Saccharomyces cerevisiae S288C: one gene and its partner. Changing the gene in region 2 together with the main gene of any one other region gives a genetic interaction. Each region holds a gene or a part of one and is shown on either strand. Other genes may lie near its edges.

Region 1 (4,251 bases), on a different chromosome or scaffold from region 2:
GGGTGCCTGTACCACCCTGACTACTGTCGATGCAGGGATTAGCATGTTTACCAGAACCGGATTGTCTATCACTCAAACTACTGTGACCAACTGCTCAGGTGGAACCTGTACCATGTTAACTGCACCAATCGCGACCGCTACCAGCAAAGTCATCTCACCAATTCCAAAAGCCTCCTCGGCTACTTCCATTGCTCATTCATCTGCTTCTTATACTGTCAGTATCAATACCAACGGTGCCTATAATTTCGATAAAGATAACATTTTTGGTACCGCTATCGTTGCTGTTGTCGCTTTATTACTGCTATAGTGATACAATATAATCTTCACAAGCATATAAACAATTGTAAAATAATTTAAATTGACTTGAAAGAAATTTTAAATCTATACTTGATTCATGTAGCACATAATACTACGGTTTGTGAACATACTCCTATACACTTTGAATGGTTTGTATGATATACAGGTATCTAAACATTAGTGTTACCAGTTCGTATATTAACACTAGTTAAATTTGAATCCTCTAAGGTATCGCCAACAAGTAAAATTTTACATTTAATTGAGAAGTTTTTTAATTTTTCTAAGAAAACATTAAAAATATCACAATATGGGCTTCAGCCTAAAATTATGGTTTTTTTTTTCCCTCATCCTTCATTTTATTACCTCCGTTTATTGACGTGTTCGACAACTCACATATGAAGCTTTAAATACTTTGTTCACTGTTAGTTTAAATAAAATTTAGCCTTTAGGTTAAAAATCGTGTCAAAAAAGGAATTCTTCCAAGAACATGAACTAAAGCTCTTCTTAAAATAAAGTTATGTAAGATAGAACTACGCGGCACAAAGATGGAATTGAGAAATAACGCTCCATAAAGTTGACGCTGCTAAATTCTAGGTCACAAGGCATTAGAAATGAGGGCCTTTGAAAAAATTTATTCAAGTAAACTGCTTTCTGAAGAGTTCGCTCTCATCGACATTGGTAGAAGAATAGTGTAGTGTAGTAGCAACCGTTAGTAGTTTATTAATGTCTAAAATTCAGTATAACTAAGAATAGAAGCAAGTATTCTTATACGGTATAGCAGAAACGTATAACTGATGCGGCGATGACGAATGTATTCAAAATGATGGTATTTCAGTGATTTGCTATATTTCCAATGTAATAACTCGCATCCCTACGTATATTAAATTTGAATTAACATTGAATTAATAGATCTTTAACGTAACTTCTTCCGCTAGTTTCGCAGTAGTATCTTGTTTCCTAGCCTGGAGCTATGAAGTATACTGTTTGGTCACTTTATTCAGTTACTATGGTTACTAAAATTATAAACCACCCGTTCCGACAACGACAATGAAGATCTATTTTGCAAATTTGGAACAGAAATAACCATAACCATGAGGTTCGTTATCGTTGACTACATATTACAATCCGAAATGAACATTCGGCCTAGAATGCATTGTACCTTTACAATACTTTGTAAAACATCTTTCAATGTGTATTTTCCTAGCTTAGGTAACACAACTAGGTAACTTATTGGGATGGTTGAGTCTTAAGTGCAGGCCATTTATTATCAATACTGAATCTTGTATGTTTTTGTCAACTCTTGACAGAAAGCTTCAGTCAGCGAAGCAAACTTTCGACCTTCTGTATCATATTTTTCTGCTCTATTTATAGCGAAAGAGAGAAGCCTACAAGAGGATAAGTACTAATCTTGTGATTATTGATTTTCTCCAAAGATTGGGAAAATTACTTAGTTGCACAGCGGAAATGTTTCGATCTCTGACTTTGTAATCGTCAAAATATTCTAGCAGAGCGCAACTTATTTAATTCATACTGTGCGTTCTCCTTGTGGTTTCTAAGACAATCTTTGAGCATGTTTATGGATGCACTTAGGGGTCCTACAAGCCTTCGTATGAAGTTGCCCCTCGCAAGCACACTATAAATTCATGAACAATTGCGCAGTCAAAGTTAGATTGTAAGCCGAATTCAAACGATTTCAACAGTCGTAGCTAACGAGGCCTTTTGTCTCACACCCTTACAAAGGGACTGTAGAATGCAAGGGCAAACAGGCCTGAGGTAACTTTAAAATATAATGTACCTTGAAAACTATGTATACATTGCATTTATTAAGCAGTAGGGTATTTTGTTTGCAAGAAAATAAAGCTCAAAATATCTTTGGAGTTTGACAATAGTATAGAAAAAATAGCTCAGCAACCTTAATAAAAAAAGGGTCATTGGGCAAAGCGTTTTAAAAAGATTTAAGTGGTAGTGTTTAAAGTGAAAGAGATTGATATAGTTAAAAATTGTTGAGCTCAATTCACGCTGGATTCGGCGATCCGTTTTCTTCAATCCTCACGTGCTTTCTTCGTTTGAGTGCAAAAGTTCATATGATGCTATCTCCCGCTTATCTTATTAGTCGAAAATGGGGAGAATTTCCTATTTTATCTGTCGTTTAGCACATATGGCCAGGAAAATACATAAGGTTTCGCCGAACGACGGGGTCAATTCGTCCTTTTTGTACACATCGTTTAATTTATGAGGAAAAATTGATGAATGTATCCTCCGTAGACGCTCCTCTGAAAAGTTTCATGTTTCCTGCGCGTTCCTTTGATAGGCAATAAAACAATACAACGCGTGCCTTTGAAAATGCCAAGATCTATACGAGGCCTCTAACAAAACATCGTTCAGGAACAGAGAATGCTAGAAATGCAAAAGGGTCCCTGGGTACTCATTGAATAGAAATGATTGAAAATACTGCGTATAAAATAGCACGACTAAATGATACTATTTTTATGTCGACACGGTACTATTTCTTCTTTTTCAGATAAAAGTGTAGCATACTAAATATATACCCCAAGTAATGTCTAGAATTAGTATATTAGCTGTCGCCGCAGCATTAGTGGCAAGTGCAACCGCCGCATCCGTGACCACCACTCTATCCCCTTATGATGAAAGGGTCAATTTGATTGAATTGGCTGTTTACGTTTCTGATATTGGCGCCCATTTATCTGAATATTACGCTTTCCAGGCTTTGCATAAGACTGAAACATACCCACCTGAAATTGCCAAGGCTGTTTTTGCCGGTGGCGATTTCACCACCATGTTGACTGGTATTTCAGGTGATGAAGTGACCAGAATGATCACCGGTGTGCCATGGTACTCTACTAGATTGATGGGTGCTATTTCCGAAGCACTTGCGAATGAAGGTATTGCTACTGCAGTACCAGCTTCTACCACAGAGGCTTCTTCCACCTCCACTTCAGAAGCTTCTAGTGCCGCCACTGAGTCTTCTAGCTCCTCTGAAAGTTCAGCAGAGACCAGCTCAAACGCTGCTTCCACCCAAGCTACTGTTTCATCTGAATCTAGCTCTGCTGCAAGCACCATTGCAAGTTCTGCTGAAAGTTCTGTTGCAAGCTCTGTTGCAAGCTCTGTTGCAAGCTCTGCTAGTTTTGCCAATACCACAGCTCCAGTTTCTTCTACATCTTCTATCTCAGTCACTCCAGTGGTCCAAAATGGTACTGACAGCACCGTCACAAAGACTCAAGCTTCCACTGTTGAAACTACCATAACTAGTTGTTCAAATAACGTCTGTTCAACTGTGACTAAGCCAGTCTCCTCCAAAGCTCAATCTACAGCTACTTCTGTCACATCGTCAGCATCTCGTGTTATTGACGTTACCACTAACGGTGCTAACAAGTTCAATAACGGTGTTTTCGGTGCCGCTGCTATTGCTGGTGCCGCCGCTCTATTGTTATAGTGATCATGTGCGGCCCTGTACAGTTGTATAAATGATGTAAAATAATTGAATTCTCTTAATTTTAATATTTATAAGATATATACTATAAGCGTAAGGAAATTCCAAAGAAATTTGTTTTTTAGTTTGCAGTCTTGTGCTCCAACTATTTCCGGTCCTTTTCGAATTTCATGTCAGGAGCATTCCTTATTGCAGACAGCTTAACAGAAAAAAAACTGTGAAAAAAATAAATACCTTTAGATATTAAAGCCCTAAATTGATATCAAATTTTTTCCATATTTGGATTTTGTATTCCTTAAAGCCCACATCCTGTGAACGGTTACGCTCAAATAATGGCCAAGTAACCTACGATCCAATAGCGACGTATATATATCATATAGAAAAAGGTCATCCAGAAAATTTGTGTCAATAAGTATCAGGTCTTTTATATGTATTTATATTATTTTCCGTCAATTTTCAATCTTGCGCCCATAGTTTCAATTTTCTTGTCTGTTGTGATTCCT
Region 2 (8,612 bases):
AGCTATGAAGGCCAACAATTTTGTGTACGTGTCTGGTCAAATCCCTTATACTCCAGATAACAAGCCTGTTCAAGGTTCTATCTCTGAGAAGGCCGAACAAGTTTTTCAAAACGTTAAGAATATCTTAGCAGAAAGTAATTCTTCTTTAGACAATATAGTCAAAGTCAACGTATTCTTGGCTGACATGAAAAACTTTGCCGAATTCAACTCTGTATACGCCAAACACTTCCACACCCATAAGCCTGCAAGATCCTGTGTTGGTGTTGCTTCCTTACCTTTGAATGTTGATTTAGAAATGGAAGTTATCGCTGTTGAAAAGAATTGAAGGATTGAAACTTCTTTACTGCCTTTTTTCCACTTGCGATACCGAGGAGTGTACATTTATAAACATTTTAGTAGCATTCTTTAGCGTATATAAGATTTTAACTAAGAAAAGAAACGAATTTACGGAGTTTCAGAATCAGTTTCTTGCCGTTGTAGAAAATGTGAGGGGAGTTTCCCTCTACTTGTATCAATGTTACAAGACAGGGGTAGAAACCTATTACGTGTTGGAACTTATTTTCTTGAACACTCTAATCATAAATTCTAAAAAACTGTGACTGTGTTTTCGTCACAACTTTGCGGTGTACAGATGTCGTCACATACCGTGTGTTGTTTGGGTGTTTTCCTTTCAGCTTTTTTTTTTTTGAATTTTTGAATTTTTACTTTCATTTGCTTTCGGAGGTCCCGCTTCCGACAATAGTCCGCTTCATTTGTCCCTTCCCATGAAAGTTCATTCCTTTGGGCAGAGAGACCGTCCTTCTGGGAGGAGATGGAATTGACGCCTGGGGGAGGAGCCAGTAACAATTCTAACTCTTCCTCTTCCTGTCAGTGGCCCCAGCACCCGTTCAGACGGTATGGTAACGGGCTCTCAGGAGCCGTTTCATCGCAGCTGGTGGGTAAGTTTGGAATGTTTCAATAGCATTCTACGTAAAAGTTGATGAACTTATTAGTTGTAAGTAGTAAATAACGGGTAGTACATAGTATTTGGCACTTGTTATATTCTTTTGATTCAATTTACTTTGATTGAAACTGAGAATAGATTAGCAACGAACAACCCTAAAAATGGCTCAACGTGTTACTTTCAGAAGAAGAAATCCATGTATGTTACTGAACTATTTTTTTGAGTTTTCATGAAAACTTATTATGAACTTATTATGAACTTATTTTGAACTTTCATTGTGGGAAAATGAGGTTAAAAGGCGAACGAGTGCTATTTAGAGAAGCGTACCACTTAGAAATAGGAAGAACCAGATCATCGATAGGGGAATCAACTATGCAAGAACTTTCAAATATATTGGCATGACATTAAAACATTAGACAGCATGAACGAACAGTATCCAGTAATGTGGACAGCAATAAGTTGACTTCAGTTTCTAAGTGGAAGACCTTGGTCGACCCAAATGGAAAATGAATTTTTCTCCGCTGTTGAAAGATTGAAATGAGATAATATTCATTCAGCAACGCCGAAATACTTTTCATATGGAGCAATCCCACTCAAGTTCTTAAATCATAGGATAATAAAGAAGTGATTACTAACATTAATGGGAAAATTTTCTCTTTACTACGTACAGACAACACCCGTTCTAACAAAATCAAGGTTGTTAAGACCCCAGGTGGTATCTTGCGTGCCCAACACGTTAAGAAGTTGGCTACTAGACCAAAGTGTGGTGACTGTGGTAGTGCTCTACAAGGTATTTCCACTTTGAGACCAAGACAATACGCTACTGTCTCCAAGACCCACAAGACTGTTTCCAGAGCTTACGGTGGTTCCAGATGTGCCAACTGTGTCAAGGAAAGAATCGTCAGAGCTTTCTTGATTGAAGAACAAAAGATTGTTAAGAAGGTCGTTAAGGAACAAACTGAGGCTGCTAAGAAGTCTGAAAAGAAGTCTAAGAAATAAATTTAAATAAGCATTCCTTTTATAATTACTCTAACTTCTCGTCGTACTAAAAAAAAACACTTTTATAGTAAGATATAAAACAAAAACGAAGATTGAATCTTCCTTTTTTATTTCTGTGTTAAATTCTCTAAACCAGCTTGATTTGCGCGAACCACCTGTCACGGCAGATCATCCGAAGACGACAAAGAAAAGGATGCATTACATCGGTTTAAATTTTTCTATTCGTATTTTATAAGTATTATATTATATTATTAAGTCATGCAGATATAAAATTATACAATTGGTCGGAAATGGAGGGAAATCATACATTTTTATTTTATTTTTAGCGTAGTAGTTTTATCAAAAAAATAAAAGAAAATTACCATTTCAACAAGTCATCCTTAGCGTATAAGTAGTCATCAAAGATCAATTCGACTTCATCGGTTTCAGCGTTGTATTCACCGACTCTGATAGATTCGTGGTTCTTGACAATGATGTCACAACCCTTTTCCTTCAAGAAGTCCAAATCGAAAGTGGTAGCAATACCAACGATTTTACAGCCAGCAGCCTTACCAGCAGCAATACCAGCTGGTGCGTCTTCAAAGACAACAACCTTAGATTTGGATGGGTCTTGTTCATTAATTGGGAAACCCAAACCGTTTCTACCCTTTAAGTATGGTTCTGGGTGAGGCTTACCTTGCTTGACATCATTGGCGGTGATGAAGTATTCTGGTCTCTTGATCTTCAAAATGTCGAACCATTTCTTGGCCATGTCACGGGTACCAGAGGTGGCGACAGCCCATTTTTCCTTTGGCAAGGCGTTCAAAGCATTACACAACTTGACAGCACCTGGAACTTCGATGGAGTGTTCACCGTACTTTTCTGGGATTTCACCTTCTAGCTTGTTAACGTATTCTTCATCAGCAAAGTCTGGAGCGAACTTGGCAATGGCATCGTAAGTTCTCCAACCGTGAGAGATGTGAATAACGTGTTCGGCATCGAAGTAAGGCTTGTCTTTACCGAAATCTCTCCAGAAAGCAGCAATGGCTGGTTGAGAGATGATGATGGTACCGTCAACATCGAATAGAGCGGCGTTGATTTTCAAAGATAAAGGTTTTGTGGTCAAAGGCATTGCGATGGTTTGTATATTTGCTTTTGTTGTTCTGATATATTTTAAAACATTGAAACGTTTCATAACAAGGAAACTTGGAAAGAAAAAAATGGCAATCAAGAGATACTTACGAAAGATTTATATACATTATCAATTGAACGAAAATGAACAAGACGACAATATGAACAAAAAGGAAAGAAAGTGATTAACAGAGTAAGAAAAGAAAAAAAAAGGAAAAAAGAAAAGAAAAAAAGAAAAGAGGAACTCACACATCATCAAAGGTCAAAATGGTCAAAATGGTCAAAATTAAAAGACACAAAGGAAAAGGTGAGTAAGGAACAATAAAAGCACATACCATCATCAAACAGCGTTAAAAAAATTATGTTAATGATGATGATCGCAAGAGTAACAGTGATAATGGTGATGATGATTATTCCCATAAAGAAAACCGGACAATGAGAATCCTGCAATTTACCAGGCGCACGCGGGTTCGTGTATGCGAGAAAATGATACGGATTTCCTGCTTGTCTCACTATTAACGCGTGGCGGGGTAAGACCCAAGGAAGACAGACAAAAAAAGCCTTCGGGGCCATGCCATGTCATTGCCGTGGACTGAGACAATTACAATATTGCTTTTGTTCTCTTTCTTTTGACCCTGTGACGTGTTTCGTAAGAATCCCACTTAAGAGATGAAAAAGAAACGTGGTGGTACTTCGCACCCAGACCATACGTCTTCCACTCTCTTGATGGGAGCGGCGAGCTTCCGCACCCACACATTCTAATTGCCGCGCCTTCCTCCCACCCGTACAGAGTGATATCCCTTGGTACGATTGACCAGGGTGTGTGGCGCAAGCAAATTTTCCGTTTTAGTTCAATGATGTCTTAATTGACACTGCGCTTGTTTTGAGCGATGGGTTCGCAGCCCTGGAAGACCCGCAAAAAATTAGGGGAATGGAATATATTCTCTACTCCATTTTTCAAATGTTACCTTTTGTTTGTGTGCATTGTATTATTCCATAGTCGTAATGTTGGCCTTCTTTCGTGCGCTTTCCTAAAGGTTTTTACGCTTGCTTAACTGTTAAGTTAACAAGACTTCCTCCCACACTTGTTTCTTTCATTTTTTTTTTTTTTTAGATTGGTCTTGGCCTCCAGTTCAGTTGGCTGATACACGAGAGTTTGCTGTCTCTCCTTACAATACGCTTGCTTTATAATGACTCTAGAACCACACTATAGTGCCAAGTCGGCTGCTTCAGCCAGTGCCTTTGTTGCCCGTTCTGCGACCGAAAGCTCAACAGCAAGCACAAAAGCTGCTCCTAGGAAAAAGACGTACTCGCAGTCAAATGGTATTCCCATAAGGATTGATAATCTCCCTCCGGGCAAGACTTGGGCCCAGGTAAAATATTTGATAGGCGGAATCATATACCATACCAATATTTTACAGGTGAAAATGCTGCCTCCAATGACTTCCATGGTTCCTCCTTTTATTACTTTTCAGAGTTGCATTGTCATTCTGAAGAACTCGATAGATAACGAGTCCCTGGAAAACTTACTACTTACTTTGAACACCTACCAATGGGATTATCATGATCTGTTCGTTTACCTGTTGCCGTACACTAATGATTCTCCTTCACTGCGATATCCAGAAATCAGTGATAGCAACAATGACGTCCGGAGTGCTCCCGATGAAACTAAAAGATCTATTTCTCCTCGATATGCAAGCCATGTTTCATCTGTGACACCGCAGCCACCATCCGCTTCTACCCCACCTTCTCAATTTTTCAGTTTTTCTCCTGAAGTGAGCCTTCGAAAGAATGAGAACATAACGCCATTGCCCACGCCTGTTCCCGTACCTGTTGGTGTGCCACCTCTTGCTCCCCCGCCTCATGGTCCATTTTCGACTTCGATGCTACCTATGTTGGGTGCTCCTCCGGGAACGGTACCTAATATGCAGATGCCCTATCAAACTACTCTACCTTCACCAACAGCTGCTGCTACTGCTGGTGGTCCACTTGCTTCCCCTACACACTATCCCCGTCGTCGGCATTTCTATCACCAGAACCAAAGCCAGTTTCAAAAATACATGCATAATAGCCCCAGGAATCCAGATACTGGCACAGGCCCTCGTCTTTCTCAGCAGCATCACCTCTCCTTAAGGAACAATAAGATAAATCCCTCTTATAACGAAATATCTGCCCTTTACAACTTGAACATGGCCTCAAATTCCAATAATAATGGTAATATTCCCACTACAAGTACGAATGGTGATGACCGTGCCCTCCAAGCAAAGAATGGTGGAACAATTACACCTTCACAAACTCAAATAAATCACAAAAGATTAAAGCATATCTTTAACGAGAAAAGCTTTAGAAAACAAATGACGAATAGAGGTATGTGGCAGCTGAAGATCATAAATTTCCCACCCTATATACCTATAGAATTCTTGGAGAAATTATCAGAGTCTGATTTCAATGAGTTAATGAACCAAGAGAAGTTCACAGTTATTGAAATTAAAGAGAAAGGACAATTGGAAAAATTTGGAAGGCTAAGATGGACAGTTCTAAAAGATTTTATAAAACTGAAATGCCCCAAGCTATTAAGACTACAGGAAAGACAGTTTCTACAGCAACAAAACGAAGCATCTTTACTCAATGAATCTATGGACGCTCTAAAGATATCAGAAAATGAGAACACCAACGGGAGTGCAAATAATAGCACATACACAAATGGCGGACCTCGAACATCTATCAATAATACAAGGGAATTCTATGTAGGGGTTTATGAAGATCATGAAGAAGCAACTCTACTGAGGTTTGAATTACCGGAAGATGAATTAGAGGAGTTTAATAGAAATTTGCCAACTACTTTTGCACAAAGTGGAAACGTCTCTGACTCCGAAGGTGATAGCAAGGCGAAATACTTTAAAGTTAGCACAATTGTGTATAATGCCATTGTTGGGTTCCACGATAAAGAGCTGTCTGATTTGACGTTCGAATCCTTACAAGACCAGGAATATTCACTGGGGTACAAAATTCATGTAATGGAACTGCCACCATTTGACGAGGATGAATTTGAAAATCAACGGCAGCAGTTCTAAGCATGGATTAAGAGGATATTATTATTTTATCTTACATAAATATGTACGCGAATTGAAAAAGAAAAAAATATTGTGTAGAATGTGTATTAGGCAGTTATGTATGTAGACAATTTTGTTTTGTATTTTTATCAAAGTAAAGGCTGGAAAACCGGCTGTGGTAAATTGCCATTTTGAAAAGAATTTTTGTTCTTTGTAACGTATGGCGCTGGCACAGACTCGTTGTGGTCATTATTATTTGTGTTGGAGGTGGAGGTGCCAGTGTTTAAAGTAGTGTTGCTATTTTCTTCATTCATTGGCGATTTAGAGATCCTATTAAGGATGTTATCAAAGGCAGTTAAGCTTGATTTTTTTGGATCATCTTTTTCTTGTGGTACCAATGGAATAGAAGGCATAGAGGGGTTTTCACCTATGCATGACATTTTGGGCAACGTAATGGGCACTGGTATTTTTGCATCTTGTAGTGGAATGGTGGAAATGTCCTTAATTACGAGATGAATCTCGCTCGTGGAAAAGGAATCAAATAACTTTGCCAAACTTTCATCGTTCAAGAGGTTATCGTTATGGAAAATACCAAAATTCTTGTTCTTGTTGATAATATTAAATAAATTTTTACAGTTTTCCAAAACTTCAGACACCGTGGGTGGTCCATTGCTCAACTGGTGGAAAGTAAAGGCTTGCTCGCGATCATTAAATCTAATGATCACTCTGCGATTAACATCTTTATTGGCCGATTGAGGCTTCATTGGTAGCGTAGTTAAAAGTGTAGCTCTATTCGATAGAGTGTTATTATTATTCAACATAACGTCACTTGAAACGACAGGAGGGCTTCTCTTAACCCTCTTGTTAGGTGAAGATGATGGTGGTTCTGACGCACAGGAACTAGCCAAAGGATACTGAACCATCACAATATGATGTATGATTTCACTTAAAGGGTAAAGCGTGGGGTCGAAGCCAAAATCCTTGACAATACCACCTATGACCAAATACAGTAGCCTTAGTTGTACCTGAGCCGCGGGGAAATGAGATAAGTTATGTCTTGTAGCGGCACCGAACAGTCTTTGAGACAACAAAGCCAGATTTTCAGGAGAGCACGTCTTGGCAGTGATATACTTCATTGAAGAAGAGACCAAGTTGGAGAAAAATCGTTCGATAACGAATGCAATAGACATTCGGATTGACATTTCACCCAAAATCTCCAGATTTGCGTATATATCAATGGATCCTGCAGCCTGCGAAATGTCCTGACAAGTTCTTGATCTTTGGATTTGTAGGAGTAACTTTTCCCTCAGGAAAAATGGCACGGTAGAATCTATCGGGATGTTTGTGGTAATGTTAGGTTGCTGGCTGAGTGAAGACGTAGCAAAATGTGACAGGTTTGGCCCAGTATATGGGTCCTTGAGAGCTTGTTCTGATAGGGGTACGACATTCGTAACAAGATCGTGCACTAGCATGGTGACTATATCGTTATACTTTTGTTGGGTCGAAGTAACCGATGGAGATGAGTCATTTTGGGTGCCCACGGTTGGAAAAATGGTTCCGTTATGACTCTGGTGACTCATGAGAGGCTGGAACTTGTTTGAAAACTGGAAATCTGCAGCATAATTAGAACTAGGCAGGAAGTCCGAATTGGAGCGCTGGTAGATCGACGGAGAGATCTCGTCGTCAGAAGTAGAATTTGACGAGATGCTGTTGTTGACATTGCCGCCACTGCCATTGGCTATGCTGAGAGCGTAGCGTTTTTTTGATCGTTTTCTATTCCTTCTCACTGATTGCACAGCAGCAGTGACTAACTTTTCGAATTCCTTAGAGCAGCTTACAGGGTATCCAAACTCCGTTCTTAATATTGTAGCAATCTGCTTTATGTTTTGATCTTGTTCGCTTGCCTTATATTGACTTAGTTGGAATTTGTCTATCAGCTCCAGCCTTCTGCTCGAAAACTGTTTCCATTTCTTTTCATCATTAAAATTGAGTAATTCTCTAATCTTATGAGTTGCTCCATTCCCAGAAAACTTATTTATTCTATATTGAGTGAATGTTGGAGGACCGTTCATATGTGTATAGGATATAAGCAACGAAGAAGAATAGGTAGAAAGAGAATAAAGAAGGTTTTAAAGCTATAACTAGTAGAAAAGAAAAATGTAGGAAGGGAATGCGGATGCGTTTATGCTAAGATGCGATGGGGACAATAGAAAAAGAAGAGAAAAAAAAGGAAGAGGAAGAGGTAGTGGTATAGAGAAAGAGAGAGAAAAAAAAAGGCTAGTAGTATTTGTATAGTAGGGAAAGGGCTAGATTAGAACTGAACCAAGCTGACCTGAATTGACTCAATAACACCATTCTCACCCACACAAGTACCGAAGATCCAAAAGGCAAGAATCATGGAAGAGAGCACATTGATTTATAGTAAAAAAAAAAAAAAGAGAAGACGACGGTAGAAAGATTTCAGGGAACATATGGCTTACACTTATGCTGAAGAAGTAAGAGGGAGA

The links. Genes that interact genetically often act in the same process or in processes that back each other up.
Region 1: mutations in YIL055C (region 2) and DAN1 together harm fitness more than expected from each alone (negative genetic interaction), as found in Saccharomyces cerevisiae (one large-scale study listed by BioGRID).

The regions. Positions count from the first base shown.
Region 1 is NC_001142.9:708,311-712,561, reverse strand, and holds DAN1 (Dan1p), read left to right. Parts: upstream 1-2,854; coding exon 2,855-3,751; downstream 3,752-4,251. Other genes in the region: DAN4 (Dan4p), read left to right, coding at 1-307; YJR149W (putative nitronate monooxygenase), read right to left, coding at 4,188-4,251. UniProt on the Saccharomyces cerevisiae protein: Component of the cell wall.
Region 2 is NC_001141.2:249,556-258,167, reverse strand, and holds YIL055C (uncharacterized protein), read left to right. Parts: upstream 1-4,242; coding exon 4,243-6,126; downstream 6,127-8,612. Other genes in the region: isoleucine biosynthesis protein MMF1, read left to right, coding at 1-325; 60S ribosomal protein eL34 RPL34B, read left to right, coding at 1,105-1,141, 1,614-1,942; glycerol-1-phosphatase GPP1, read right to left, coding at 2,301-3,053; YIL054W (uncharacterized protein), read right to left, coding at 3,308-3,625; VHR1 (Vhr1p), read right to left, coding at 6,255-8,177.